Linked DNA regions of Rhinolophus ferrumequinum. The protein of the gene in region 4 purifies or fractionates together with the protein of the main gene of each other region. This does not show direct contact. Links are inferred from orthologs where the notes say so. Each region holds a gene or a part of one and is shown on either strand. Other genes may lie near its edges.

The links.
Region 1: the proteins of SRC (region 4) and CDCP1 purify together in Homo sapiens (co-immunoprecipitation; 4 studies listed by BioGRID and IntAct, with this or other methods). This does not show direct contact. The link is inferred for Rhinolophus ferrumequinum from reciprocal best matches to the Homo sapiens genes SRC and CDCP1.
Region 2: the proteins of SRC (region 4) and PTPRA purify together in Homo sapiens (co-immunoprecipitation; 4 studies listed by BioGRID and IntAct, with this or other methods). This does not show direct contact. The link is inferred for Rhinolophus ferrumequinum from reciprocal best matches to the Homo sapiens genes SRC and PTPRA.
Region 3: the proteins of SRC (region 4) and ARRB1 purify together in Homo sapiens (affinity purification with western blotting; 3 studies listed by BioGRID and IntAct, with this or other methods). This does not show direct contact. The link is inferred for Rhinolophus ferrumequinum from reciprocal best matches to the Homo sapiens genes SRC and ARRB1.

The regions. Positions count from the first base shown.
Region 1 is NC_046300.1:9,845,537-9,852,774, reverse strand, and holds the start of CDCP1 (CUB domain-containing protein 1), read right to left. Parts: upstream 3,016-7,238; 5' UTR 2,878-3,015; coding exon 2,796-2,877; intron 1-2,795. UniProt on the Homo sapiens protein: May be involved in cell adhesion and cell matrix association. May play a role in the regulation of anchorage versus migration or proliferation versus differentiation via its phosphorylation.
Region 2 is NC_046306.1:25,041,486-25,049,111, reverse strand, and holds the start of PTPRA (receptor-type tyrosine-protein phosphatase alpha), read right to left. Parts: upstream 3,012-7,626; 5' UTR 2,777-3,011; intron 1-2,776. UniProt on the Homo sapiens protein: Tyrosine protein phosphatase which is involved in integrin-mediated focal adhesion formation.
Region 3 is NC_046294.1:50,017,915-50,025,474, forward strand, and holds the start of ARRB1 (beta-arrestin-1), read right to left. Parts: upstream 3,006-7,560; 5' UTR 2,822-3,005; coding exon 2,766-2,821; intron 1-2,765. UniProt on the Homo sapiens protein: Functions in regulating agonist-mediated G-protein coupled receptor (GPCR) signaling by mediating both receptor desensitization and resensitization processes.
Region 4 is NC_046306.1:18,599,364-18,606,995, forward strand, and holds the start of SRC (proto-oncogene tyrosine-protein kinase Src), read right to left. Parts: upstream 3,009-7,632; 5' UTR 2,825-3,008; intron 1-2,824. UniProt on the Homo sapiens protein: Non-receptor protein tyrosine kinase which is activated following engagement of many different classes of cellular receptors including immune response receptors, integrins and other adhesion receptors, receptor protein tyrosine kinases, G protein-coupled receptors as well as cytokine receptors.

The DNA.
Region 1 (7,238 bases), on a different chromosome or scaffold from region 4:
TTCCATAGAGGCTAGTGAAACAATGATGACAGCCTGGAAGAGTGTAGAAAACAGGCATTCACACTGTTGGCCCGAACATACACCAGAACAACAGGACAAGCTCTCCACAGGGCAGCATGGAAATATGTAAACGCCCTAACATTTTCTCTGTTCTTCATCCCAGCAATTCTACTTCCAGAATTTTAGCTGGACAAAGCAGTTGAGAATGCGCAGAACAATACAACCGCAAGAACACTTTCTCAGATATATCAAAATGGGACAGTCCAGCTTATACTATTTTATAACCTTGACACAAAGGCAACATTATTTCAAGTCGTTATAAAACCTGTGCTACATACTTTTTAATGTCTTTTCACTGAACAGACCTATCGAAATTGATATAAGCAGTCTCTCCTATTGTTGGACATGTTCTATTTTTAATAGGAAAAATGGAAAGCAACCTAATTGTCCAACAACAGGGGACTGGAATAAGGGCATGGTCCCATTTTTCGTTTTACACACACACACTGAGACTGCACCAAAATGACCATGATGGTTTGCTCACAGATGATTTTTCCCCCTTTTGATTATACTCATATTTATTGCCAATTTTTCTACAACAACTATATATTAATATTACTTAAAATATTTTAATTACTGTTTTCAACTTCCTTCCCCCACACTGAAGCCTGGGAGAACCCCTAGAAAGGTTGTGTGTGTGTGTGGGGGGGCAAGGTACAGTCATCAAAGACGAAAGGGCAGCATCTGAGGTGAACCCTCTGACGCCAAGTCATGCAAACCTGTGGGGGTGTGAGGGGGGTGGGACTCATCAGTCCTGCCAGTTACACACTCCAGACAATAGCCAGCAGCTCCTCAATATGTGAAGAATGACGAACACACATTCAGGGTGAGCAAACACTTCATTTGATGTCTGCTCACATTTCTGGCACAAAGCAATGGCAGCAAGAGTGCGGTCACTGACCCAAACTTTGGTATCTGAGTGGTTCTTGGAAAGCCACCAAGTTGAGATTTTAATAAGGCTATGATTCCAACGTAACCAGTCCTTCACTCTTGCAAGTGGGGGAGCTGGTAAGAATAGCAAACTCACACAAATGCACCACACCAAGACACAAACTTTCCTTTACTCTTCAGCTCTGCCGTGAGAACAACTTCATTTTCACTCTGGCTTTCTCCACCCTTTGAGGACTGACTCCAGTAACTTCTCAAAGGCCCCCACGGGGTCCAACCCCAAGACCTCAACAAAGCAGAGACACTAGGCGAATGCTCCAATCACAAAGCCATATCCGTCAGTTAAGTCTGGCAATGTAGCCTCACAGGGCCGGTTCCTGAGACCCCAGACAGGTGTTAAGAATGTGAAATGGGAAACTTTTTAGGCTTCCTTGTATTTATACACCGAACCATGAGATATGACTCCCACAGTCAAGAAATTCCTGGAAGGGACTCCACTGGAGCTACTGGAGACCAAATGGCTGTCTTTCCAGGCCACAGGGAGACATCAGATGGTAACAGAAGCCAGTGCAGGACAGGCTATCCTTGTCACTAGTAATGCTTTGATTACACATTTTTCTCACACACATTTTCACTCATTAAGTTACTCTTTATTCTTAAACTTACATTTTTCTTCAAAGGAAATCTTGAAAACTCAGTCTTAAATTACAGTAAATATGCACGCAATATTTTAAAGGCCATTTTAAAATGTTCTATGTACTTGGCAGCAGTATGTCACCTGATGCTGTAGGAGAAAAAACCAGGAAGCTTTCCTGTCTCGGATTTATGATGGCAGTTACCGAAACGCCTAAGTTCACCTCACCCGCTCAGTTTTATTCCTTAATTTAATGTACCCTAATTTACCTACCTGTAAAATACAAACGCCCCCTTAGATTCAGCAAAGGGTAATAATCGAAGACCCAAATCGCTTCCTGGGTAGCTCTTTACAAAACACAAAACCTGTGCTAGTCTCAGGAAAGGCCTCAAGTTCTGACAAGAAACCAGGTTATTTACTGTCTTAATACTTCCCGCACCCACGGGGCACCTCCTCGCGCCCCCCCACTCGGAAACACAGACAGCTGGGATGCGGTGGTCCCTCCCCCAACCGGAACAACTCGAAATTCACACCTATCTCTGGGACGCCCGGCTCTACCGACCCCCTTGTGCGTCCAAGTTCACTACACCAGGTGCGAGAGGCGGGGGCCTGGGGGGCCTCGGCGCTTTCATCTTCGATTCGTGCTCCTGAACTTCAGGGGCGCGAGAATGGGGGGTGCGGACAGGAGAAGAGGTGATGCGATGGGATACTGAGACGCAAACTTTCCTGGCACCTTCTCTCTGGCCCAGGCGAGGAGGTAGAGGGTGGACCAGAGAGCAAAGTTCCCCCCCACGCCCAGCCTGCCCCGGAGCCCACAGTCATCCAGGTAAAGATCCCGAGCGCGCGGCGCGCCACTTCGGGCCCCCGGGGACTCGGCTTCCTCGCGCTCTTCTTTTCTCCTTCTGGGTCGGCGTCGGGCTCCTCCTCTCGACTGCGGGTCTCCTGGCTCGGGGACATTCCCACGTGCCCCGGCCTGCGCCCAGGTCGAGGTCGCTCGGAATCCAGGAGGGCACCGCCATCGGGCCCGACGCGGCGCGCCCCGAGGCCGGGAAGTACCGGGAACCCCGCGCCATCTGTGCATCCCGACGGGGCTGTCCCCGCTCCAACTCTGCACCCTCCTCGCCCGGCGCACCCTGGTCCCCTCCCCGCCGGACGCAGGCTAGCCGGCCATTCGGCCACGCAGCGCCACGCGCGCTCGCAGACCCGCACTCACCCGCTCGGCGTGGCAGGAGCGCAGCGCCCCGCAACAGGACCCCCAGCAGTGCGAGTGTCACCCCGCAGTTCAGGCCGCCCATGGCTCCGCGGATCCTCGGCCTTGGCGGGGAAAGCGACTGTGGCCGGCGGTTCGGAGCGGCGACCGTGGGCGCCCGAGCCTGGAACCGGCTGCGCGGCGCCCCGCCCCGACTCGCTCACCTGCGTGCGGGCGGGTAGTCCTGGGCACCGCCCTGCGCCAGGGGAGCTGGAGCTGGCGGGACCTTTCCCCTCCCCTCTTTCCTCCTCCCCTTCCTGCTTCAGCACCCGCCTCTCCCGCCCGGGGTGCTGGGACTCGTCCCCACCTTCCCGGGCTTCCACCTCCCTCTAAAGGCTGAGAGTGATCACTCAGGTCTTTTTGTCTGAAGGCCTGAAGGTCGTGCTTGGCAGAAGCCAGTCTGCCTTCCCTTCGCTGTCCAGAAGAAGAAGGCCAAGGTGCTCCCCATTTTGCAGGGAATTTTTGTAGATCACCCAAGCTCTGGCTTCCTCCTCTGTTCTCTTTCCTCTGCTACCTGACCTGGGTGGAGGCTCACTGGACTTTAAAGCCGGTGCCATAGCTGCTCTTTGCAGGACTACGAGCCGGCAGCCTACTCCAGCCACTCCATCGGCAGCATTTCTAATGCTCACAGCAACTCTTCCACATTATGGATGAAACAGACTTGACAAGTTACGCAACCTGTCCCGGATCCCCAGGCCAGTGAGTAATTTAAAGGCAGGATTTGACAAGACAGGAAGGGTTTTCCACAAATGGAATGGCTTTGTTAAATTTATGAAGGACAAACGAATGAGTGAGTGAATAAATGCACGAGTTTGGAAAGGGCCAAGAGAAGAAACCTAAACAGGTCCACAAGGGGCCCTTTCTTGAGTTGTGAGTGGAGTATTCCGTGTGGTATTGACAGTGGGCATTTAAGCCAGTAGTTGGGCCATAAAAAAAATCAATGGCACAAGCCTCCTTTCCCTCCTCCCACCTGCAGGTGTACCTCCTGTCTCTGGCTTCTGTAGGCTACACACCAAGTCCAGGGTCGCAGGGCCACAGGAAGAGGCAGTGGTTGGTTGGGGACTCTCAGCTAGCAGACCGTTATTCTTCCAAAATGACTCCATGGACTCCCTGGGGCTACCTGTGCCTGGGGGCAGCCAGAAACTGGGCCAGAGTCACCAGAACAACCTGGGAGGACGGAGACAGGAACCAGAGCACGTGCAAGAGCATCAGTCTATAATCCACCCCCAACTTCTGTTTAATTCTTGGGGAAACTGAGCCTCTTCAGGCTATCCCTACTCTCATTGAACAAGGGTGATACATCATTTCTTAGGAACTTCACCTCCTTCCTTCTCCGTGTCTTCAATGCTGAGAATAAAGCACACTGCTCGCAGGAAGTCCACAGTCCATGAGGGAGGCAGAGATGTCCAGACTGTCTGGGACATGACCCTACTCAGCCTCGACCTATGGAAGGGACTGGATTGTGAACTGAGGGGACCTCAGAGTGTATCTCTTAGTCCACTTTCCTCATCAGGCAGATAGATGAGGGAACTCCGTCCTAGAGAGAAGGAAAAGGATGAGAAAAGTGGGGAGGCTCGCCCACAGAATCAAAGGAAAATTCATCAAGAGAAAGAAATCTTGAATAAATCTAACATCCTTTAAAAATGTTTATGCTGAAGGAGAGTGAAAGCAGATTTTTTTTTTCTAATTATAAAGCAGGCATCTATACCCCAGCATCTTTTCCTAGCATTCATAACACCATTGTTTCCCACACACAATAATAACAATAATCATAATAAAAATAATGATATAGAGTGACAGTGTTGAATTGGAAATATTAGAAATATTGCTTGACAACTTTAAACCTAGTAAACAAGTTATTTCATTTCTCCAAAGTTTACTTAACTGGCCTCCCTGGGATAGTGAAATTAATTTTCTGTAAATGACTCAAGAGTCAATAATTCTCAGATGTGAAGGATTAGTGATGGTCCCAGACAATGGCAGCAAAGAGACAGAGATAAAAAAAAAAAAAGTAGGGAGGCATCTCAGTATCCTTTGCATGACAACCTAACTATTATACATAGTTGAAGTCAAGATGTCTTGGTTCCTGGAGTGGAGTGTGAGCAAGCATTGCCAAGGTATGGAAATGGTTTGTCTTTACAAATATGGCTGAATGGAAGGAGTCAATTTTAAAAGATTATTTCTGAACTAGAAAAAATTCAGGCAGCTACAGTCTGTTGCTAGGGGGGAAAAAAGACAGATTAAAGGGTGAGGTTTTTTTGCTGTTTTTTGTTTTGTCTAATATAAGTAACATGTTATTGTAATAAACAATGAAGGAATATATTGGGACACTTCAGGCTAAAGCGAGTTGAAAGAGCTAATTACTCAGTTTTCTCAAGTTGCTCAAGGGGGCTTCCCTTAGCTTGATGGTGATGTTATACTCTTACAGGGTGAGTTTTGAAACAGACTGTGCCATGTGATTTTGACCCCTCCAGAAACCCTACAAAAGCTACAAAACAAGGCTTAAAAAAAAAAGAAAGAAAAGGCATAAGCCTACAAAGATGGGGAGAAAAGAGAGAAACAACAGCAAAATCTTCTTGGAAGCTGGAAAGCAGATGGATAAATGATAATTGACTTAGGAGCCTGGAGACAGCAGAACCCTAAGTCAGTAGTGGGGGAAATAGAGAAATAACATGATTTATACAGTGGGATTCTTTAAAAAAAAAACAAAACTAAACTACACTAACAAAAACAATAACAACAATAACAAAAAACAACTCAGGAACTAGCAGCACAAAGTATTCTGGGTTAAGAGGGTGAGGGAGGGGCTAAAACAAAGAAGCCAGGGAGAAAGCTATCTGAGAAGTATGACTGTTAGATTCCTGGAAACTGTCCTCCATTCCCTGTGGCTGGGCAACTGCTCCCTCCTTCATCCCAGCAGAAGTTTCAAGTGTTGTTTTCTATAGAGTTAAAACTGAGGGATTTGGGCTGAGGAGTGCCAGGCGTAGCTGAAAACCTAGGAAACATTTTGAAAAATAGGTAGAGAAAGGGAGCATATGCATTCTAAATGCTAAGGTTCCCAGACCCCTGGCGCCTACTTGCCTCCCAGAATGCACCAGAGAGGGCTTTACCATCCATACTGGAGATGAAAAGAGTATTCTGCATTATCTGACCAGCCCAAGAGGCAAGACTTAAAAAATACACACACTAATCCCCATCATCAGGCTAACTAGATGCCTACCATAAAGCTCCCAGTTGATAAGCCCCACCAATTTTTAATCTCTTACTTTAAAACATGACCGGACAATCAGGATTTCAAGACATCTAAGCAAAGAGTCTAACATGATAGAGACAAAATCAACCAATTAACCAAACAGAGAAAAGCAACAAGGAAAGAGACTGTATAAGGAAAAGAAATCAAACCAAAACAATCATTAACTTCCTTAGATAGCCGACAACACTGCATCTGTGAAGCAAGAAAAGTATGTTATAAAAAATGAATATTCAGGGAACCACAAAAGAGTTTTTGGGAAAATTTTAAAAATCGTAGTAGATATTTAAAAGAAGAAGAAGAGTTGGAATATCTCCCAAATATATAAAAATAGGAGCGAAAAGTTAAGGAAATTGGAGGCTCAGTTCAGGAGATCCAACATCTGAATAATGGGTTTCCTAGAAAGAGAGAGCAGAAGAAACAGAAGACATTCTCAATGATAGAATTCAAGAATTTCCCCAGGCCTGAATAACATCAGTTTCCACATTTAAAGACTCATGGAATGTCAGCACGATGGATAAAATAGGTTTACATCAAGGCACATCATAGTGAAATTTCAGAAAGCTATGAACAAAGAAAGGATTCTGTAAACTTCCAGAGGCAAGAAATGGGTCTCATGCAAAGGAACAAAAATCAAAATGGCTTTGGATTTCTCAACAGCAACAGTGGAAGCTGGAAGACAATGAAGCAATACCTTCAAAATTCTGAAGGAAAATAACTTCCAACTTAGAATTCTATACCCATCCAATCTATCAATTAAGTGAGAAGGCAGAAAAGGGGCACTTTTAGACATCCAACACCTAAAATGAAAAAAAAAAAAAACACAGAAAAACCCCAAACAACAAACTCTCACACACTTTTTCTTAGGCAAATACTGAAGTATGTGTTTCATTGAAACAAGAAATGCATGAAACAGAGAGGAGTGGATACAGGTTTGTGGGGATAAACTTAATCACCTTAAGAAAAAGAATACAGAGTTACAAATAGAAATGTGAAAAAATGGTTATTTATTTACAATGAGGAAAGAAATCACAATAGATTATAAATTTGAAAAAAAAAAAGTCACAAATCCAGAAAAATACCATTATATCCTTACTATTAACTTGCTGGTACTAGAACCACATAAGTTCATTTCTTCAGATCATTTTGCCTCGTTG
Region 2 (7,626 bases), about 6.4 Mb from region 4:
CTCTACGAGTGTTTGTCCTAATGTGGAATGATTTCCTAAATTTGTAAAGTAAAAAGGAGCAAGGTGTGACTGGTGTGCATCATGGGGGAAGTATGGATAGGTAGACACGTGTTTATAAAGGAACAGTGTCTATGTAAGGCACAGAAACTGGAAATTTCAGCCATATCTGGGGAGGTCAGGGTAAGAGAGAGACTTGTTTTCCTCTATATGTCCTCTTGTACTGCTGGAATTTTTTCTTATATATTTATTATCTTTTCTTGAAACTGAGCAGCATTCTCTCTAGGCCTCCCTCTGGGTCTAAGAGGCTATGATTTTGCCTCTGTACGTCTCCCGAATTAAAGGGGCAACAGCATCTGGCACCACACTGCTCTGAATGACCTTTCCAAAGCCCAGTTAACCCAAGTCCCTGACCTCCTTTAAAATCCTCCAGTGGCTTTCTACTACCCAAACTCTAACACAGCACATACAGCCCATCAAGCTCTCCCTAATCTCATTTCCCACCCTTCTTCCATCTACCCAGTCCTACTATGTTTAACTTCTCCCTGCTCCCCAAGGACAGTGGGTTCCTTCCGCCTCCAATCCTACTTGTGCTGCTCCCTCCCTCTTTCCTGTATTACTATCTATCACACACAAACTCCTATGCACTCTTCATGACCCAAAGTCCCTCTCCCAAGAAAGCTTTCTCGGACCACCTAGGGAAGAAATGTTCTCTATACACCCGGCAGATGCTGTGGAACTAGACTGCCAAGATTCAAATCCTGACTATTCCCTCATCTGCCTATTGTATGGCCTCAGTTTCCACCCTTGTAGAGTAGGAAGAAGCCTGGACATAACTGTTGAAAGGATTAAATAATTCACGTAAAACATTTATTACACATCCTGTCACAAGGCAAATAAAATAGCTAGTATTACACTTTCATACTAACTGTGATGTATGTACAAGTAATTGTATCCACCTGTCCTGCATTAGACTGTAAGCTCCTTCAAGGTAAAGATTTAACTTCCTCACTTTTATTTTGTATCACAAGCGCTTCCCCTAGCAGTAGAAGGAGCATGGACGTACTTTATTCAGAGAGTTGGCTTTTTTTGGTTCTGAATTTCACCCATATGGTAAATAAGTAGCTAAAAGGTACCCAGTGAACAGCCACCTGGATCCCACGATGCCTGAGAAAACACATATCAGCCAGGTCACTCACTTCAAGTAGGCAGAGGTGAAAAGTCACCGTGGAACTTTTGGTCTTTTAGAGACAGTCAAGCAGATTGGAGGCCAGCGGGATAAAAGACCTGCCAGTTCCTGTCTGCTGACTACTTATTGGGGCTGGATGGAATGGAAATGGGGAATCAGAGTTACTAAAAGTCCTAGGCATGCACTCCAAGAAAGCCTTGAGAAAACAGGAAAGATTCTCCTGGGAAGTGGGAACCTGGAAGTAAACAGAGTCAAGACATAAGGGGGAAGAGATGGGATATGACCTACAAGACAATTGGGAGAAAGAATCCTCTTAGTATGGGAGATAAAAAGGTACAAAAACACAGCTCCCGATCTCAGGAAGCTTCCGTAGTGAGAAAGGCTTTGAAGGAAAAGGTGGAGCTGGGCAGGTAAAGGTGGGGAGGAAAGAGGATCACACAAGCAAAAGCATCCAAACATATGAAGAGGCAGACAAGCAGCTGGGAATGGCTAGGGAGGTGGATAAGGTGAAGGAGAATTGAAGGAGTCAGCTAAAAGCAAGAGAGTAAATTGAGGCAAGACTGTCAAAACCTTGTATGACTTGATAAGACATTTAGAGATTCATTCATCCCATGGGAAAAAGAGGGAGGGAGTTTTTAAGTAAACAAGTGACAGCATCAGATTTGTGTTTTTAAAGGAGTGGCCAGGCAGGAAGATGTTCGCCCATCTTCCATCGTCAATCCTCTCCCCGCCCACCATCTTCTGGTTCTAGGGCTGCCTTCACAGCAAGCAGGTGGCAAGTGAAGAGATCTTCCCGGAGATGGGACTCGTTCTAGAACAGGAATCCCTACCCTGGGCAAAGGCTCCTGAAGGCATTCACCCAGCCTAGGGAGGTGTGGAACATTCTTTTACTGTCTTACAAACATCATCACTCACTTTAAAAAAAAAAAAAAAAAAAAAAACACAAAAAACCCTCAACACTGGGCTCACCTCTGCTATTAATGTTTTTATCTTCAGGAGATACAACTGGGAACTAATTTTTCAAAACCCGATATTCTTTATTTACCAAAAGTAAAAAGGGAGGGGATCTGCATTCCCAACTGGCTCATTTCGAATTTGGGGCAGCTCTGAGCTCCTAGTTCCCTTCTTCAGCAGCCTCAACAGTTGGGAGTGGGCGGAAAAAAGAGCGGCCTGGGTAAAGGGCAAGGGGGGCTTCAAGGAAAAGAAAACTTGACCACTTCAACAGCAAATTTTCTCAGGCCAGGAGTTTTCTTTTCCTCTCTCTTTCCATTTAGTGGACCTGAGCAAATTCTGTTCTCACTGTTCCAAGTTTCTTCTTTCAGAATGAACTACGGCAGCGCCCTGGCCTGGCCTCAGGAGGACGCACGCAAAGTTCCTGGGCAGTCGACAGGGGTCGGCGCCCTGTCCCGCACGTTTCCGGGGACCCCCTTTCCGAACAGTGCAAGGATGTGGGAGCCGGGTAGAGACGCCCGAAGGATTCTACCCGGAAAAGAGGGATTGGGGCTCCCGCCAGGGACCCCTCTCACCCGCGCCTAGGAACCGCCCCCCCTTTCAAAGCCCCTCCGGGCGGCGGCGGCCGTGAACACTCACCGAGTCCGGCGCTGGGCGGGACCGCTGGGGACGAGGACGGCGGCTCCGCCTCGGTTCCGCGGCGGCGTCTCGGCCCGCCACACGCCCTCAGGGCCGCCGCCCGGCCCGCGGCTGGGAGCCCCGCGGCGGCGGCGGCGGCCTCGCCTCCATGGCGAGGAGAAGCGGCTGAGGGGCGACTGGGCAGGCGGCGGTGATGGCGGCAGCGGCCCGGGGTCCGAGCTGGCTCTTGCGCGCGCGTCTCTGTCAGCGCCGCACTCGCCGCAGCCTCGCTCCCGAGCCGGCCTGTGCTGTAAGGCGCCTCTTCATTGGCCGTTCAGAGACGGACGCTGATTGGCCTATACCGGAAGGGCGTCTCCCGGCCCTCTCGGGCTCCGCCCTTGCACGCCTCCAAGCGTTCGCTAGCTGGCCAGAGGCTCAGAACAGGGTTTGAGACCCTGTTCTGGGGAGATGCCCCACCCGCAGCAGCCGGGTCCTCGGGGAAGCGGGACCCCAGGAGCACCGGCCGCCCGCGCACGTACGGCTTCCGCCTCTCTACAGTCCCAGCCCCCTGGACTTGAGCCTTCTTCCCAGTTTACAGATGCGGAAACTGAGGCCAAATACCAGTTACATCAATGTCCACCGACCATGGCAGCCTGGAATCCAAAAGCCGTCTTTCCATTCCTCTCTTCAAACATGTTCCATTCGGATTTTTCTTTTCTTGCTAATTGCTGCAAGGTATTTAAAGGACGAGGGCTCTCACTGGGAAGAGAGAGGAACCTGCAAAGCCCTTAGAACCGGCCTGGCACCGTGGGTTTCGTCTTGCATCAAGTTAGCCCACTTCATCCACACCCGAGCCCCAGGGAAATCTCCCCCGCTTTCCAGATGCGCGAACCGGGGCCTGGCTCATAACAGAGCTGGGTAGAAAGAAACACAACACATGGGTGTCTGCGGTGGGGGTGTCGTTTTCTATAGGCCTGGCGGGGAAGAGGAGGTTCAAAGCTCAGAGAGGACCCAGAGATGCGTCCCACCACCACCGGGGCTGGAACGGGGTGGGGGAGCACAAACCTCCTCCCTAGAGCTCTCCGCCCCACGTGTGGCTCCCCAAAACCATCTGTCAATATGTCTGGCGGCAGCCGGTTCCCAGGCTACAGAACCTGGGCGTCCGCAGCTGAAGGCGGATTGCACAATTCTGGTGGGAGACGGGTGAGACCCTTTTCTAGTTGTGACCCCACGCGGTGTCCCTCGGACACACCAGGACCCACAGCAGTGTGCAAACGGAGCTTGCGGGGAACCCTTCATCAGAGTCCCGGAGTCTGCGCTTCCCGGAGTGGGTGGTGCAGAGCCTCTTATCCAGGCCCGCAGCCCTCTGAGCCCCCCTCTCCTACCTCCTACCAGGCACAGTTCCACGTTCAGCGCACGCCAGGGGAAGGGTCAGTAGCCAGCGGCAATTCCTCATGGCAGGATGAGTGCGGTGGGGACATTTCAGTGCAAGAGAAGGAGCACACATAAGCTGTCATTTACACGAGATTCATGCCACTACCACCTCCAGTCCCCACCACCGCCTGCAGTTGAGGCACCAGCTTAAAACTCTGTCCCCTGTATTTGTGGAATAAGTGAGTGTATGCTGTCCAGTTGTCAATAGCCTGCAAATTCAGGGTGCAGTGGGCCTCCTTCAAGCCATCCTCTCCCCAGCAGAGAAGTCTCTCCTTGAGTCAGAGATGGGTTTCTCACTCCTCAGCAGGGCTGGCCCACAGGTGTTGTGAAACCGCCAAACCCAAAGCGCCTCTGCCAGATAAACACTCCAGCTCAAAGACTCCCAGACCACAAACCCAGTCTCCTGTTAGATCCCAGGAGCAGCCAATGAGGGCAGGTTCTTCCATATGCCCACCATTCTCACTTCCCAAGAAGTCCAAACTCGGTATATCAGCACACCAATAGAAAAGTGAAAAGCCTGAATTCAAAGTGTGTAGAAACCCTGAGAAACAATGACTGTGAGTATGGGAGGTACCTGGGTAGCTAGGATAGCAGCAGCATCCTAGGACCAAATGCCACCAGCAGTTTACCTTACCTACACCTGACCTACCCTATTATGTCTTGATATGTTTCTTTTGGTTAATTTCTATTTTTACTTACACCCGTCATCCACCAGAACTGTGCAATCCGCCTTACAAAGGGTTTGACATGCTTATATTTTCTAACATACATTAACATAAATAGCTATAGAAAGTGTTCATCCTTGAGATCATCTGAAGGATCTCCAAACAATCTGACCACACTTGGGAAAATCCTGCCATTGGGTGTGGGTGTTAGAGAGCCTAGGTGTTCAAACCTCACCATTGGCTGGCTAGGCGACCAGAGCTGTACTGAGAAGTGCAGGCATGTACATCTTGGCAAGTAACCTTGTCTCAGAAAATGCAATTCCTTCTCTCCATGAGACAGCTGCACTGTGGTCAGAGTATTTGTGGTGTGTGTGCAGGGGTGACAGAATCTCAGACCAAGGAGAGGCAGGGCCTTGGGTGTCCCATCCTGGAGACCTGGGGAAGGAGAATTCAGCTTGGCAACCACATAGTCCGCTTCCTTTGGGAGAGGACAGAGTCCCATCATCAGCTGCTCACCTGTGGAGACCTGCCTGCCTCCTTGTCCTACCTGATGTCTGGGGTGTCTCTAGCTTCCCTGTCATCAGAGGACAAAAGGCTCTCTTTGAAGAGGAGAGAACTGAGAGAGGGAGGGGAGGAGGCAGGCTTCCTGTACCCAACCCACCCAATGGAAGGCTGAAGCCCCGCGCCCAGCCCTGGTTTAGTCCTAGTGCACAGGAGTATACACCTACAGGCAGCCACGCGTTAGCCACCCCACAGGTGCCCCAAATCACAGGGTTCATGAGAAAAGGACTGGACTAGAAGGAGAACTGGAGGATGGGGGTAAAGAACTCCTGTTTGTGTAGATAAGTCACTTCCCCTCTCAGGGTCTCCTTTCCCCATGTAGTAAACGAAATAATGAGTCATTTACTCAGCAAATACTTATTGAGTGCAGACCATGTGCTGGACACAGCAGGGAATAAGACAGAAAAGGTCTCTGCTCTCAGGAATTTATATTCTAGATTGGGGCAATAGACAATAAACAAGTGAACAAGAAAACTTCCTAAATGCTGTAACGAAATAAAAGTAAGGCAATAAGATAGAAAGTTGAAATAAATGACAGCCGAGTGCCTTTCCAAGTCACTGTTCTACTCCCAAGGGTCATTTGCCAATGCTTTGTACCTAAAAGAGACTGCAGCCCCTTTACCCTGAGAAGGTGACTTGTAGGAGCCTTTGCCCTGACTCACTCCAGGGCTGCCATTAATATCCTAAACTAGAAGCGATGTTTCTAAAGTCTCCACCCCAGCTCCAAAATCCTGGCCCCAGGCTCAATCCTAGCCCCAACCGATGGCCAGGACTTGGCCCCACCTATCACTATAGGCCCAGGGCTGCTGTGCAGACCCTCAGGGCAGAAGGCATTTTACACTAATTTTAATTGATCTGTTGAGGATTAAAAAAATAATCCCAGTTGTTTTTTAAAATATCACTATTTATAGGTGTACGCGTTTGTCAAAAACTCAGCAAATGTACACTTAAGATCTGAGCATTACATATAGATTTTGTCTGAAAAGAAAAAATTGCAAATGATAAACTCTAGTTAATGAAATGCATTCTGAAATATTTAGAGGTAATTGTACTAATGACTGCAACTTACTTTGAAATGCATTAAAAATAAGATAGATTAGTAAAACAGACAGAAGCATGATAAAGTAAATATATTTAAATGTTAATGGTAGAATCCAGGTGGTGGGTATACAGGTGTTCACTATAAAATTCTTTCACCTTAGCTGTATCTTTGAAATTTTTCATGATAAAATGTTGGGGGGAAAATCAGTGTTTAACTTTACAAAAAGTACACAAAGCTGCCTTTAATTTTCAAATAACTCTACCCATGAACAATTCCAGTGCTTCTCCATCCACATGCATACCTACTTTTTATGAAGTTGTAATCAACGATGTTTATATAAACATAATCATTGTCACATATTTCTAAACCTTCATGTGTACAGTGTTTAATGTCTGTATATCACATGAGTAAATATGCTGTGTATGACTTTGGGGATGCAGGCTTTTTACAGTGTACTCGTGCATTCTAAAAGCACTGCCCAGGGCCCCCCTTCCAGAGAGGGACTGGGTTGTATGGTACCAACACTTTTTCACTGAGAACTAGGAAAGCTGGAGAAAAACATTTTTAAAAGGCACAGAAGAGCTACTAGGGCAGTGGGGCCACGACCGGGGAGGAAAAACACCCAGAATGATGACGAGCCCAGTATTGGGGATCTCCTTGCCTTTTCCCAGAGGTGTCTGCTGATTCTGAAACCTGATAGGCTGTGCCAGACTGCGATTCCAAAAATTGGCCACATTTCCAGTTCTGCACATTGTTCCAGAGCCTTGCTACACCCCTATCACGAGGTGGAGTCGATTTCCCCTTGAAATTGGGTGGGGTAGGCCTATGTGACCGCCTTGCCAAACAGAATATGGCAGGTGTGACCCTGTGTGACTCCCAAAGCTAGGTTAGGGAAGGCAGTAGAGCTCTGTGTCTCCCTTGGGATGCTGCCCTTGGGACCTGGCAGTCGTGTTGGGAGGTACCGCCGGTTGTAGGTGTTCTGGCTGACATCCCAGCTAAGGTTCCAGTCAACAACCAGCTTCCATTGCAGACTGTGAGTTACCAAGCCTTCAGAGGATTTCAGCCTCCAGCTGTCAAGTTACCTTCCACCTTTGAGTCTTCCAGCTGTTACCCCAGATGTTGTGGAGCAAACCATTCCTGTTTCCTCCTGTCCAAATTCTTGACCCACG
Region 3 (7,560 bases), on a different chromosome or scaffold from region 4:
AAGGCCAGAGTTAGCATATCCCACGCAGGTGAAGGCTGCTGCAGGCCGTCCCTCAGCAGGACGGAGGACAAGAGGCCTGGAGCGATTCTCAGGCACCATCCGAGCCTCGAGAGCATGATCAGATCTCCCCATCTCCTCCGCTACCCTCACCCAAGCCAGCATCACTGCCATGACAGGTCTCCTGGGCTTGGGCCCCTTCAGTCTGTTCTTCAACGGGCATGTGGAGAGTCTTTCAAGATGTAAGTCAGACCGTCCTGCGCACTTGCTCCGGGTCCTCCCAGCTCACACAGGACAAGCCTTGTCTGCGTGTCTGCCATCCTTCAGCTCCTGGCCTCCCCTCCCACGTTCCTCCCTCACTCTTCCAGCCACGGAACCTCCTTGCTGTGCCCCCACCACACCAGGGTGGCTCCTGCCTCAGGGCCGTTGCTCTAGCAGTGCCCTCCCCTGGGACTCTCTCCCCTCACAGATCGGCTTGCCCAGCTTGATAGGATGGGGCTTCAGCCTGTACCCACCCCCACTCCCACTCCTTCTCACTCTATTTCTCCTTTTTCCACAGCACTCACCATTTCCTAACCTACTACGTCATGGCTGCTTACATCTATGCCTGTCTACTCTGCTGACGTACCAGCTCCATGAGGGCTGGCATCTTTGTCTCTTTTGTCCACTGATATATATGCCAAGTGCCTAGATGGGTGCACCTAGTAGGTGTTCAATAAACGTGTTAATGAATGGCAGGCAGCAAGCACTCCATAAATATTAGTTGAGTGGATGTATGAATGAATGATTGAATATTGGAATTAACTGAGGAACGGAGGCCCAGGAAACAGAGGGGCTGTGCCCGTGGCCACACAGCAGACAGAGCACTGGATGCAGATTTAGGCGGAGGTGAGGTCTCCAGCTCCCGCCAAGCGCTCACCCTTCCACAGCACGCTGCTAGCTCCAGCAGCTCCCCCTGCCCTCTCCCTCCAGTTGGGTCTGGGAGCCTGAGACCCCCTCACCTATCGCCCATCATCAAGCCCCAGAAATGCTCAGAATAATGTTTGGAGGGAGAGAAGAAAAGTGAAAGATAGAGACAGAGACCCAGGGGAAAGTATTAGAGGAGGGAAGGGAGGAGGGAGAGGGCAGGAGAGGGACATGCTCCGGGAGGTGTGAAAATAAAAGATGGAATGAGAGATGAAAAAAACAAATGAACAAAAAACGATAGGGAGAAACAGTCCCAAGCAGAGAGAGCTAGAGCAGACAGAGAGATGGAGCCAGCCCACATGTGGCCAAGCAGGATCACACAGCCCAAATCCTTCCCCAGGAGCGAGAGGTCCAGCAAGGCGGGGTGAGTTTACATTGTCACTGTGACAGTCGCTCCTCTAAGGAGCTGGTGGTGGCTCTGTACTGCCTCCAATAGCATATCCCCCCACACACACCCCTTACTTCTGAGGCCCAAGGAACCGTGGATGCGTCTGAGCTTGGCTTGCAAAGAAGAGCCTGGTACGTCCCTCCCCCACCTCCCCTAGGAGTTCTGAGCTTTTCTCCTCCTCATAAATATTTATCAGATGTGGAATGTGAAGATGCCATAGTCAGCTGGGGTATAATAATTGCTAAAGTGAGAAAAAATACAGATCACACGGTTCGACCAGCAGCTCCCAAGTTGGGCTGGACCTGCAAAGGAGACCAGAGATCCACCTCTGGGCCACAGGCAGAGGGTGGGAGCCAGGCTGGGAGGACTGAAAATCAGGAAGGGAGGAAGGGCGGTAAGAAAGAGCTAGCGTTTGTTGAGTGCCTCATTATTTCTCCTAACAGCACTGCGACGTAGGCATTATAACGCCCATTTTATAGATCATGAACTAGTGGTTCAGAGAAATGCAGTAGTTTGCCCAGGAACACACAGCAAGCAAGGGGCTAAGTCAGGATTCCGAGCTAATTCTGCCCGGCTTCCTCCAGAGGATGGCTACTTTATATCCAACCCTGCTGCTTTCCTAAAGCAGGTGTTTCCAACATCAGGAGCAGAAAATCGGGAAAACGAGGGCAGGGGAGGGGAGAGGAAGAAATGAAAGAGCCATTATTCATTAAGGGGTGAGAAGGAGATTAAGGGTGACCAGAGGCAGGAAGCATGACCCGTGGGGGGAATGTCCTGTGGCTAACTCAATCAGCCCCCTGGGGGGCCACCTCCTCAGGAAACTGACACACGGACGGCTTCCTCAGCAACAACAGCAGCTGCCATGACCTGAGAGTGTGTTATGCCCTAGTCCTGTCTCTAAGTATTTTTCCCAGAACACTGTTGATCTTTCAACAATCCCACTTGAGAGATGAGGAAATTGAGGCTCAGACAAGCGAACGGTGGCTGCCCGTCTCCACGCTGTCCTTTCCACTCTAGCGCACAGCCAAGCCCCCCCTGAAGCAACTTCACCAGCTTCCTGACCCCAACGCTGTCAGAAAAAAAGGCCCCTCTGGGGGTGTTTCCAGATCACTGGGACGCCCACGTGCGCAGCACCACACAGATGGCTTCTGCCTGCCCACTCTGAAGAGCTAGGATAAACACGCGAGACTGTGATCAAAGCTAATCTTCCAGATTGTGGGACGGCTGGGTCTGTTTCACCCCCAAGTTCCATCTATGCCCCCCAAGCCTGATTCTCAGAGTCAAGACCTGTTCCCATAAGAGAAATTCTGCTGGTGTTCTAGCTGATTGAGGCTCCCTGGAGACTAGGAACAGAAACCCACCGAGGGCAGCTCAAGAAAAGGAGAAGAGGGTATAAGGAGAAAAGAAATCTCACGGGAAGAACGCGCAGGCAGGATGCACTGGGGCTGGAGTCAGAAACGGGGAAGCCATCAGCCTCTCAGACGGTTGCTCTCTCTCTCCACCTCTCCCTCTGGGGCTGCATATTCTCCCGGCTGCACTGCTCTCTGTGCGGTTGATCCATTGTCTCTGTGGACCAACTCTCTGTGCTTACTCAGGGCTTTTCTGTTCTTCCATCATTTTGGCTTGCATCTGGCTCTCACTCTGACCCTGTTTCTACTCTGCCTCACTCAGCTTCCCACTGTTAACTGCTAAATGGCCCAAATCCAAATTCCCAGGAGAGGAATTTCATTGGTCACCTTTGATCAGGTGTCCCACACCTGGGCCAATCAGCTCTGCCTAGGGTGTGTCATGTGGTCCATGAGGCATGGGCAGAGGAGTCTATAAAGCAGTATTTTTCAAACCAGGGGTCAATCCTTAAATTGATAATGAAATCAACTTAAAGAATTGCCACCAGCCCTTTGCCTTTGTTGTTTTAATGGAATGGAATAGAAGATGTAAGCATGAGATGCAGATAGCAAAGGTATAATAGATATTACTGTCCATTCCCCTTTAGGCTGGGCAAATTTCTCCAGTGCTGTGAAGTTACGCATGCCAATGTGGCTTGCTCTGGCCAATGAAATATGAGTAGAAGTGCCATATGTCACTTCTAGGCAGAAACATTTACCAGCTGGTGCATGGTTCCCCATACCCTTTGTGTTAGTTTTCCATAGAGTCTATAACAAATAACCATGAACTTAGTGGCTTAAAACAATATAAGCTTATCTTACAGTTCTGTAGTTCAGAAATTCAAATTGTACCTGGGTTAAAAATCAAGATGTCAGCAGGGCTACATTCCTTTCCAGAAGCTCTAGGGGCAAATCTGTTTCCTTGACTTTTCCAGCTTCTCAGAGGCTGCCTGCATTCCTTGTTTCATGGCCTCGTCCTCCCTCTTCAGAGCCAGCAGGTTAAGTTCTTATTACACTGCATCACTCTGACCTCTTCTGCCTCCCTCTTCTACTTTTAAAGACCCTTATAAATACATTCGTCCTCCCATTTCCCTATTTTAAAGTGAACTGATTAGCAACCTTAATTCCATCTGCAACTGTAATCCCCCTTTGCCATGTAATAAAACGTCTTCAAAGGTTCCAAGGATTAAGATCTAGACATCTTTGGGGAACCATTCGTCTGCCTACACAACCTCTTTCCTCTGCCACTGAAACCAACAATGATCTGGATGGGGAAGACTCCAGCAACCTAAATTCCAGGGCACTCCTGCTACACGACAGACAAGTATTATAGCATGAGAGAGAAAGAAAGCTCTTGCACTACTAAGACCTGAGGGTTGTTTGTTACTACAGCAGACCAGCTTCTCTCAGCTGATATACAAAGTATTATTTAGTGAAACTTTCACGTTAGGTGTACTGAGTTCCAATGTGAAATGAATTTCATGCTGCAAATGTTTTAACACGTCTAAAACAAACATGCTTTATCAGTGTCTACCGTCTGTTGGATCCTGTTTCCTGATTCCATTCCATCAGGGTGGTGTTGCCAGAAAGGCTGGCAGGTCAGTTCTCCGTGATCGAGAATGTTGTCTTCTCTAGTGATCCCCACTCCCCACCTGCAGTTTGGGGTACCTGTTGATCAACATTGACACTAATATTTTGCTGCTATTCTGTGAGCCACAAGTCCTCCCAGAGTCTATTTGTGCTTGTAGGAAGAAGCCTGCACCAGGAGGGACTCAGAACAAAGCACCTTCTGTGACAGATTACCCAACAACCAAGAGTTTATAATCCCATGTAATACAGCCAAACAGTGGAATATTATGTAGTGAAAGTACGCTTGCATCTTTCGTAACACAAGGAAATGCCTATGATGGAATACTGAGCAAAATAAATCAGCATTCAAAGCAGTACATTGGCATGAGCTCAATTTATACTCAATACATACCAAAAGAAAAAATAATAAGACATAATGTTGTTAAGATGGCAATACTCCTCAAATTGACCTATAGAGTCAATGAAATTTCTACCAAAATTCCTGCTGACGTTTCTGCAGAAATTGACGGGCTGATCCTACAGTTCACATGGAAATGCAAAGGACCCAGAATAGCCAAAACAATCTTGAAAAAATAAAAATACAACAAAGTTGGAGGACTTACACTCCTGAATTCACAACTTAATACAAAGCTATCATAATAGTAACTGTGTAATACTGACATAAAGATAGACATATAGATCAATGGAACAAATTTGAGAGTCCAGAAATAAACCCATACATTTATGGTCAATTGATTTTTGACAAAGGAGCCAAGACAAGTCAATGGGGAAAAAAAGTCTTTTCAACAAATGATGCTGGGACAACTGGATACCCAGAGGCAAAAAAAAAAAAAAAAATTGGAAGTTAAACCCCCTACTTTACACTGTATACAAAAATTAATTCAAAATGGATCAAAGACCTAAATATAAGAGGTACAACTATAAAACTCTTAGAAGGAAACATGACCTTGGATTAAGCAATGGTTTCTTAGATATGACACCAAAAGCACAGGCAACTAAAGTGAAAAAATAGATAAAATTAATTTCATCAAAATTAAAAACTTTTGAGCTCCAAAGGTCACTGTCAAGAAAGTGAAAAGACAATCCACAGAATGGAGAAAATGTTTTCAAATCATGTTATCTGATAAGGTTCTAGTATCCAGGATATATAAAGACCCTATTATAATTCATTAATAAACAAATAACCCAGTTAGAAACCCCAGTTAGAAACTGGGAAATAACCCAGTAAGAAATGGACAATGGATTTGAATAGACATTTCTCCAAAGAAGATATACAAGTGGCCAATAAGCACATGAAATGATGTTCAACATCATTAGTCATTGGGAAAATGCAAATCAAAGCCACAGTGTGAGACTTCATACCCACTAGGATAGCTATAACCCAAAAAAGACAAAAGCAAGTATTGTCAAGGCTGTGGAGAAACTAGAACCCTCATATACTGCTGGTAGTAATATAAGGCGACGCACTCACTTTGGAAAAAAGTTAAACATGGAGTTAACAATGACCTAGCAATTCCATTCCTAGGAATATACCCAAGAGAACTGAAAACAGATGTCTGCATAAAAATGTGTACATAAATGTTCAGAGCAGCATTATTCATAATAGTAATGAAGGGTAAAAAACAAACAAATAAACAAAAAACCCCAAATGTTCATCAATTGATGAATGTATTTTTCTAAATGTGGTACACACCTACAATGGAATATTATTCAGCTCCAAAAAGAGGTAAAATATGGATGCATGCTACAACATGGATGACACTTGATAACATTTCGCTAAGTTAAAGAAGCCAGACAAAAAGACCATATATTGTTTGATTCCATTTGTAGGAAATGTCCAGAATAGGCAAATCTATAGAAACAGAAAGCAGATTAGTGGTTGCCCGGGGCTGTGGAAGTGGGAAATAATAAATGTTTACTGATGGCAGGAGTTTGTGTTTGGGGTGACAAAAATGTTCTGAAATTAGATAGTGATGATAGCTATAAGACCTTGTGAATGTACTAAAAACCACGAAATTTTACATTAAAACTGTGAATATTATGGTATGTAAATTATACCTCAATTTTAAAGAATACTAAAAACAAACCCCAAAAAATGAATGAAAGGAAAGTAATAGGGGTTGAATGAGACTCCCTCCACCTACCCACCCACTTCTTTATGTCCCTTATTTTCCATAAGCATAAATTACTTTATAAAAATGTGAGGGCTTCCCTAGCAAGATATGTCTCAAGTCTTGGTGAAAGGAGAGTCTGGAAAAAACATTGTAAGTAAAGTAGAGAAATATGGATCCTAGACGGAATCCTTTGATGTCAGAGTCTCTGCTTCTGCAATTTACAATCCAGAGTCCACATCCCTATGATTCCTTAGATCCCTCCCCAGGCCTGCTGTGTCAGCTGTTAGAACGCCTGTGCTATGTCTTCTGCTCAGCTATCTCCTTCTCCAGGAAGCCTTCCTTGACTCCCCCTATGTCTGGGTTAGATGCTCCCCAACACCCACGCCCAATGTGTCCCCCTTCACAGCATTTCCCACACTTTATAACGGTCTGTTTACTCATCCTCTGCTTCACTTAAATAACTTCATCGAGAATAGAAATCTTATTTGTGTTATTGACACTGGATCCCTGGGGCATAGCATAGTGCCTGGAGCACAGTATGTGTTCAATAAATAAATACAGGTTGAATGTTTTTGGATGACTGCTCTAAGAGAGAATTAGTCTAGAGTGAGGATGGATGAAGTTTAAAAAGATGATGGCTGGTGATGATCCTTTTCTCTAGGTGAGTCCTTTTCTCTAGGACTCCAGGGATCTCTCCTGCCTATACTTCTCTTTGGCTGTCAGGATCAGCGGGTATTAGGCTTAGAAAAGGCTTCCTAGGGGCAGCTCCCAGCTACCATCAGGCTGAGTCAGGAACACCACTGTACACCCCAAACGGGCCTCTGCTTTGTTTTAACTAATGGCTCTCCACTTATCATTAACTGGTCCACATTCACACAGCCCCCACCAGTGCCTGGCTCTGGGGGCACTGAAATGAAGAATTCTTTTTTCTGCTGACAAAGGACCATGGCATGGCCAAGTTAGAGAAACCCGCCAGGTCTGACATCCTCCACGCATTAAGTTCTCCCCGGAAGCAAGGTGCACTTCGCGCATGGTTAAGATATGTTATTCCATCAAATATTCCCTTTTTTTTTTTTCAGAGAAGAAACCTAAGACTCAGCGATCCTAAATAACTTACCCC
Region 4 (7,632 bases):
TCCTCCACAAAGCTCACACGGCCCCACATGGTCAAGCCCTACTGCTAGTACCCCTCGTTTCACCTCTCACCCAATCCTCCTAATTCTCTGTGCTCCAGACTCACAGGCTTTCCCTTTGTTTCTCCACAAAAGCATACACTCCCCCACCTCAGGGCCTTTGCACATGTAGTTCCCTCTGCCTGGCAAGCCCTTCCCCTAGCTCCATGCCTGGCCATCTCCTACTCGCTTCCTTTAAGATTCCTCTGTATCCCACACCTTTCTTTGAGCCCTTATCACATCTATGATGATATATTCATTTATTTGACAATTTGTTTGCTATTTGGCTCACCCTCTAGACTCAAATTTCTGGGAGGCCAGGGACCTGTTCACAATTCGCCAGCAAGGGCCTACTCAGGCTGACCACTCCCCACAACCCCAGGGACCCTGGGAAGTGTCTGAGCAGAAGAGAAGAAAGAGCACCCTATACCCTTCTTTGTTAAGTGAACTGCTGCTGCCCTCAGCACCACCTCCTGGAAGCTTCCCGATGCCTCCCTCCAACTGCTAACCCCATCACCACACTGCTCAGCCTGAGTCCAAAGCTCCTAGCACATACATAGTAGGTGCCCAATACGGGGTCATGAATGCTTTATTGAGGCGGGTTTGGGAAAACGGGGTCAAGTGAGGACCACGGGGCGGAGTCTGTCAGCAGGCCTCTGAGCCATCTCCTCCCTGGCTCCTGGGGTTTGGGAAAGCCAGACAACCACCCCCCCAACCCCACCCCAGGTCACAATCAGGGAAGAAGCAAAAGCAGGAACTGGTTGTGAACTAGGGATAATTCATGCTCCAAGAACAGAGTAGAGGACAGGAGAGAGCTGGGGGGCCTTCCTGGGAGAGGTGGGCCTTAAGCTAAGCCTTCAAGGACAAGAGCAGATAAGCAGCTCCTAGAGGAAAAGGCACTCTGGGCAGGGACACCTTCAGGAGCAAAGACCCAGGGACCACGCAGGAGGGCCTGGGCAGGCGGTCAGCTGAGAGAGGTGACACACTATAAATCATTGCCCTGGGTGGAAAAATCACATCACTAAGGAACACCACATCACCAAAAAGGCCTCGTGGCTTCCACGCATTCACTCATCAGTGTAGTCTTTTCCGACACCGCGGTATGCCTGGTCCCATACTGGGAAACCCCTGCCCCCACAACACTGGAGGGCTGCAAGGGCAACCGGAGTGGAGTCTCTGAGGTCTAGGTGGTTTTCATTCCAGCTTCCAACTCTGTGGCCTTGGTCAAGTCACTTGCCCTCGCTACACCTCAGTTTCTCCATCAACCAAATGAGGATAAGCAAGAGTCTCTCCCTCACAGGAGATGCTCTGTAGACGTTAGCAGCTATCATTCTCGTTGGCCCATTTTATACTTAAAACTGAGGCCAGAACGAGCAGTGAGTTGCCTAAGGTCACACAGCTGCCGGGTGGCAGGATTGCACTGGAGCTGTTTCTTTTTCAAGGAGTTATGAAGCAGCTTTTCTGACACCAATTCATCCTCTTCTGGAGATAAGCCCCACTGGGGCCAGCAACCTCACCTCCCACCCAGTTTAGACAATTTATCCAGTGAAGTACTCACTTATTAAGCACCTACAACAAGCCAAGCCCCTACATGCAGAAACACATAGATTCTTCCCCTGAGGATTCTCATTCCACATATGGGGACTCAGAGGATAGTCCCTTGGCCCAGGTCACCCAGTGAGATGAGAAGCCAATGTGTCTTGTCTCCCCAGTCAGGAGGTTGAGAAGAGGGTCAGCCACAGGACCAGCATGGCCCATTCGTAAAACCAAGGCTGGTCTCAGCTCACGGTGGCTGAGCCTGGACTCACCCCAGGTCACTCAGGGACGACTGCCCCAACTGTACAGAGTCCCTGAAGCTCAGGAAGCCTCACCCAGGCACACACACGCTCTGTCACGCGCAAGTTGGCCTGAAGGCCCCAGACACTGAACTGAGGCTCACTCCTTTTGTTCACCCCCATCCTTCCACCAGCCCAGCAATTCCAGCTAGGCCCACCTGCCACTGATAAAGACCCCCAGCTCAGAGAGGGCAGGCAGTTGTCTGAGGACACACAGCAGGGCAAGTGGTAGCCCTGTTGAGACTCAAACCCACCCCAACACCAGCCCAGGCAGGCAGATGGACCAAGCCTGGTGGCGAAAACCCAAAACTTTTGCCAACTTCTGAGCAGGCAGGCTGCTGGGCCTGACCAGGGGGGAGCCTGGGGGCTGTGGACGGACAGGAGGGAGCAAGCATAGTCTGGCCCAGTCCGTTCTAGCCCGGTGGCACCAGGCCCTACCCAAAGCCACACGAGGACAGATAAGTCCTGGGGCCAGGCTGGATGTTCTGGGCCCGGTGCTCCCAGGCCCACCCTGTCGGACCCCTTTCCACCTCCCCTCCCAGGCCGGGGGCTCCAGGCCGAGCTGCCTCGGGTGGAGGTGGCGCCGACTGGCTCAGATTTCAGATTTGGCCTACACCCGGCCTGGGGGCTCCGGCCCGGCTCACTGATCTCAGGGGGCTCGTAGGAGGAGGATGAGCCGGAGGAGGTCCCCGCGCGGACAGGACCCCGCGTCCCCCACCCCACCCAGCCCCCTCCCCCTTAGCATCACAACAAAAGGCCGCGCTGGGCAAATCCCCGTGCGCCCGCCCACCGCTCCGGGATCGGGGCTCCGCCGGGGGGTGTGGGGGTTGGGGGGTGGACTGGAGTCCCTGTGGCCAGGCGATCCGACGCCAGGGTGGTCCCCGGGCGGGGGATCCCCCACACCGGCCGGGACCTGGGGGCCGCGGAGGGGCGTGGGGGGCGGGGGAGCTCACCTGGGCCGGCGGGCAGGCGGGCGCACCAGCAGACAGACGCACCAGAGGGCAGACCGCAGGACGGCCAGGGGGTCGGGCAGACGGCGGCCAGGCCGCTCCGGCTCCCAGGCCGGAATGGATTCCGGGCCGGGAGAGACAGATCGAGAGAGAAAGGGAGGAGGAGGAGGAGGAGGAGGCGGCGACCAGGGGAGGGGAAGAGGAGGGAGGGAGAGCGCGAGCAGGGAGGAGGGGCCCGGCAAGCCGCCGGGAGGAGGAGGAAGGAGGAAGCGCGCGGGGACAGATTCCCCGCCGGTGACTCTGGAGATACCCATGCGCGACCCCACGGGTCCAGATGAGGCAGAGGGTTGGGGAGTGGAGGCCCCGGACACAGGAGCCCCGCCCCCACCCCGCCCCGTGAGGACGCCCCACCCTGGAAGACCCCATCCACCCTCATGCCAAAATGCCCTTCCTAACTACCCCCAACCTACCCACCCTATCTACCCTAAATCCACCTCTCCTATAAGTATGAGTTATAATAATAATAATAATATCAGCACTAATGGAGCGCTCACTCCTTGCAAGGCGCCATGCTAAGTGGATGGGGTAGACTTTAGGCTCCACTCCTAGCAACCAGCCAGGCTGGGGGATGATGATTTCCATTTTACAGATGAGGAAACTGAGACACAGAGAAGGGGGTCACCTACAAGAATCTTATCTTCGGACTCTGGTCCTGACCTGTTTCCCAAAGTGGGGCCTGGGGCCTGAGGGACAGTGTGAGGAGGAGAACACTTATTTTAATAGATACGTGTTCATTTCAATGTGCTTTTTAAAAAGTAACTAAGGCAGCCCATCGAGTTCTGGATATTCTTACTGAGTAGGGGGCTAAAGCGGGTTTTTACCGACAATTGCCCTTTTAAGTAAATAAAGAGGCAAAGTACATCCGGATGCTGGGGACAGGGAATATAGCAGAGAAAGCAGACATTGAGAAAATGCTGGTTTAGCCACGAAGCCTGCCCCCACCACAATCTGACCCCACCTTCCTCCCACCACCTCCTGGCCCAGGCTCCAGAGCTGCCCTATTAGAGCACCCCAAACCTTGGCTCTTCACCTGTCGTCCTGGAATCATGACCCCGGGGAAGATGGGCCCGAAGCCAGCCTTAAATACTACCACCTGCCTCCACTTACCTTCTCTGAAAGTTCCCCCATTTCACCCCTGGGAAACTAAGGGCCAGCCAGGTTAAAAGGCACCTGGCCTAGACTTCTCCTGAGAGAAGCTGCACGGGGAAGCCTAGAATATGGGAGGCAAAGTCCTCAGAGAACACAATAGCATCCAAGAGACCAGCAAGGCCTTGAGCCAGACTGATCTGGGTTCAAATCTAGGCTAGTTGCCCACCTATTGCACCTTATCCAAGTCACAGGAATGCACATGGTCCCAGAGGACTCCTAGGGAGGTTAAAACTGACAAGGGTGAGGATTGACTAAGGTTGTGCCCACCAAATGGTAGGGTGGTAAAACCAAGACTTGAGGAGATGGGGCTCCAAGTCAGCAGGGGAGCCGGCCCCAGAAACCATCCCGGGCGGGTGAAACGGTGGCACGGGTTTGCAAGGCTGGCTTACAGATTAACCACAGCTTCCCAGGATTCTGTTCGGGCTCCTGGCTGGAGGAGCAGGTTTCTCAGCCCTCATTCACTCCTCAGACGTGTCTGAAGGTCTTTCCTGGCCACACTGGGCTAGGAGTGGGATATTCAACCAGTGGTGTGACGGAGCTGGCTCTTGCCATTTGCAAGAGCAAATTGTGTTCATGTCTTTTCAACTCCAAGATCAATGACGTCACCTTGGTAAGTTGATATCAGTCACCGTGGAAGCATGTACATCTTGGAAATCAGCAAACACTGCAAATTAAGGCTTTTTTTTTCCCTTCCAGAGAGCTGGTCGTTAAATATTTACTAGCACATCACTAGATTCATCTCCAGGAGTTCAACTGAAAGTCTTGGGCTCCTATAGCGGGGATGACAAAGGGCTTAAAAGCACACTTTGGACCTACAGATCTGTGTTTAAATCCCAACTCTGCCACTTCTTGGATATGTGACCTTAAGCATGCCATTTCTCTAAGCCTCAGTATGCCAGCCTACAAAATGGGCTACAGATAGTGCTTCTCTCAGAAGACTCGTGTGAGGATGAAATGAGGTGCTGTAAGCTCGGTATGCCTGAGCCCATGTTATCATTCACTCCCCTCCATACTCTCTTGGAGCAGCGGGGGCCACTTCCACAAGTCTTGGTTCTATAAGCACAGAGGCAGCCCTCCACCTGGAGCCACCACTGGCTCCAAGGGCTTGGCTCAGTGGCTGAGATTCTCAGGAGACACTTCAGGAGGATGTGGCCAACACAATGGTTTTATTATTGAGCCTTGGAAATATTCATTATTTTTAATCCTCCCTCTGGGCCTTTGCTCAGGCTGTAACCCCTGCCAGGAATGCTCGCCCCATATCTCTAGCTTCCCAACATCAAGTTCCTGAGTAAATATCACCTCCTTCAGGACATGCTTGTCGACAAACCCCATCAATTTGGGGTGTGTCTGCCCCCACCCTAAGGGCAGGGACTACGGCCTGGCCTGTGCCCAGCATAGAGCAGACACTGCCCAGTTGGCTGGGGAGAACATACTGACTAGGGAGTCACATACAAGAGTTCAAGTTCCAACGCTTTCATTCATTGACTGTGTGACCCTTCCCTCTCTGAGCCTCAGTTTACTCATCAGTGAAATGGGACAATGACCCCACCAACTCCCAGGATCATGCAAATGCAAGAGTTGCTGGCCTGGCCTAGTGGATAAGTGACTCTTTGTGCATTATTTTGCTTAAAACCTTGTTAGTAAAACAGCAACTCATTGCTTAATACCTACAAATCATTCATCATCATTAATGGACAGCAAATATTTATTGACTACAATGGTATACACAGCCCTGGGCCAAGCCTGGAACACCAGAAAGGGCAATTTCCCAAACCAAAGCACCCAGCAGAAGACGGATATTCATGTCAACATTGCTTGCAATGGTGAGCACCTGTTGAACACTGTCATCAGTCTCTAGAAACCTCTTCCCTCCTTCCCACCACCTGGGTCAAAGCAGGATGGAAAGTGTGGAGTGAGGCCTGGGTTCACACAAGTGGCAGCAGACCCTTCGGTAAGAGCTTTCCCATGACATGGGATCAGGGGCGCTGCCTGCATCTCACGCAGGGCCCTAGTGGCTCTGGTTTGATGGGGGCCTATTTGCCTCACCCACCCAAAGCCCAGCTCACCCTCAGATCAGTGACCAGGAAGCTGGACCCAACACTGGCACTCAGCAGGAAATTCCAGACCAGCCTTGTCATTCCCCAAATGGTTTGCTATGAGTTGTCTATTCAAAGCCACCAGGCTCAGGCCTAAAGGATGGGGTGAAAGAATGTGCAGGCTCTAGCTTGAGGAGTGAGCTTGCCACCTCCCATAGCCCTGCACTTTACAGTTTATACAGAGATGTCCAGTTTGTCAAGTGCACCAGCCGATCTGGCCCTTGATAGCCAATTAGGCCTCCCTTGCAGGCCCTGGTCCCCTTCCCTCCTCTATCAAGCCTGCCTCCCTGCTTTCACGCCATCACAGCAGCTCATTACGTCCTGAGGCCTCTGTACTTGCTGGTCCCTCTGCCTGGAATTCTCCCCACCCTCTAGCCTCTGACTAAGGCTTACACTTCCTTCCTCTGGTCAGTCAATATTTACTGAGTATCTACTGTGTGCTAGCATCTGTGCTAGGTGCTAGGGATACAGCAGCGAACAAGCCAGGTCTGGTCTCTGCCTGGACTTGCTCACAGCCTGGGGGAGCAGGGAAGCATAACCAGTGCACTAGGCACAGTGGCTGGGCAAGCGTGGGGGTTGAGGGGCCCAAACAACGGGCCCCTAACACAGTTTGTGTGTTGGAGTGCAGGGCTGGTGAAGAAAGGAGGCTGTTTGTGGAGAGGGTAGAAGCCTGAAGACATGGCTTCTGGCGACAATGGGACAAAGGTGTTCCAGGCAGAGGGAACGGCATGAGCAAATGCACGATGGGAAGGGTGGCAAGGGTGTGCCCTGAAGATCCTTAAATGCTGTAGGCAGTGGGGAGCCATGGAGGGTTATGAGCAGAGAAGGGCCTGGGGAGATGTGCTGTCACTGAGTTTCAGGAGGGAGATACAGGAGGAGGGAGGTGCAGTCTGGACGCCTCTACACTGATGGCAGCCACAGCTGAGGACCCTATGTTGGATGTGTATGTGAGCACATACCTGGGTTCCAGGGAACGAGGCCAAACTGGACCAAAGGCCTAAATGCAAGACAGTAGAGAAGTGGCCCTCGTCCCATGAGAGTCAGAAGGAGCCCAGGGCAGGTAAGCATGTTCTCCCTCAGAAATCAGCCACCAGAGGGGTGGCCAGCCACTAGCAGGTTCCTCCAGTGTCCGCCCACCCTCCAGGGAAGGGATGGAGACAGTGGGCACCTGCACAGGTGGAGCCTAAGTGATAACGTACAGGTGACAGCATTAACGACTGAGTGCAGCTGCGTGAAATCAAAACCCTCAGAGCCTCACCTTCTGCGGCTATAGGACCAATTCACAGATGGGAAGCCTGAGGCTCAAACACTTCTCTACCCACCCCAGATTCTGGAGACAAAACAGAGATGTCACAGGCAGAAAAGACCTGTCCATGTGAAAATAGGAGAGACCCCTGGCCTCACCAGGCTTGTGTGAAGGCCGAGTACAGGGAAACTCAGCCATTCGTCACATCACTTCCCTCAGGCCACAGTAGAGACCCAGAACGGGACACTCCCCCACCCCAG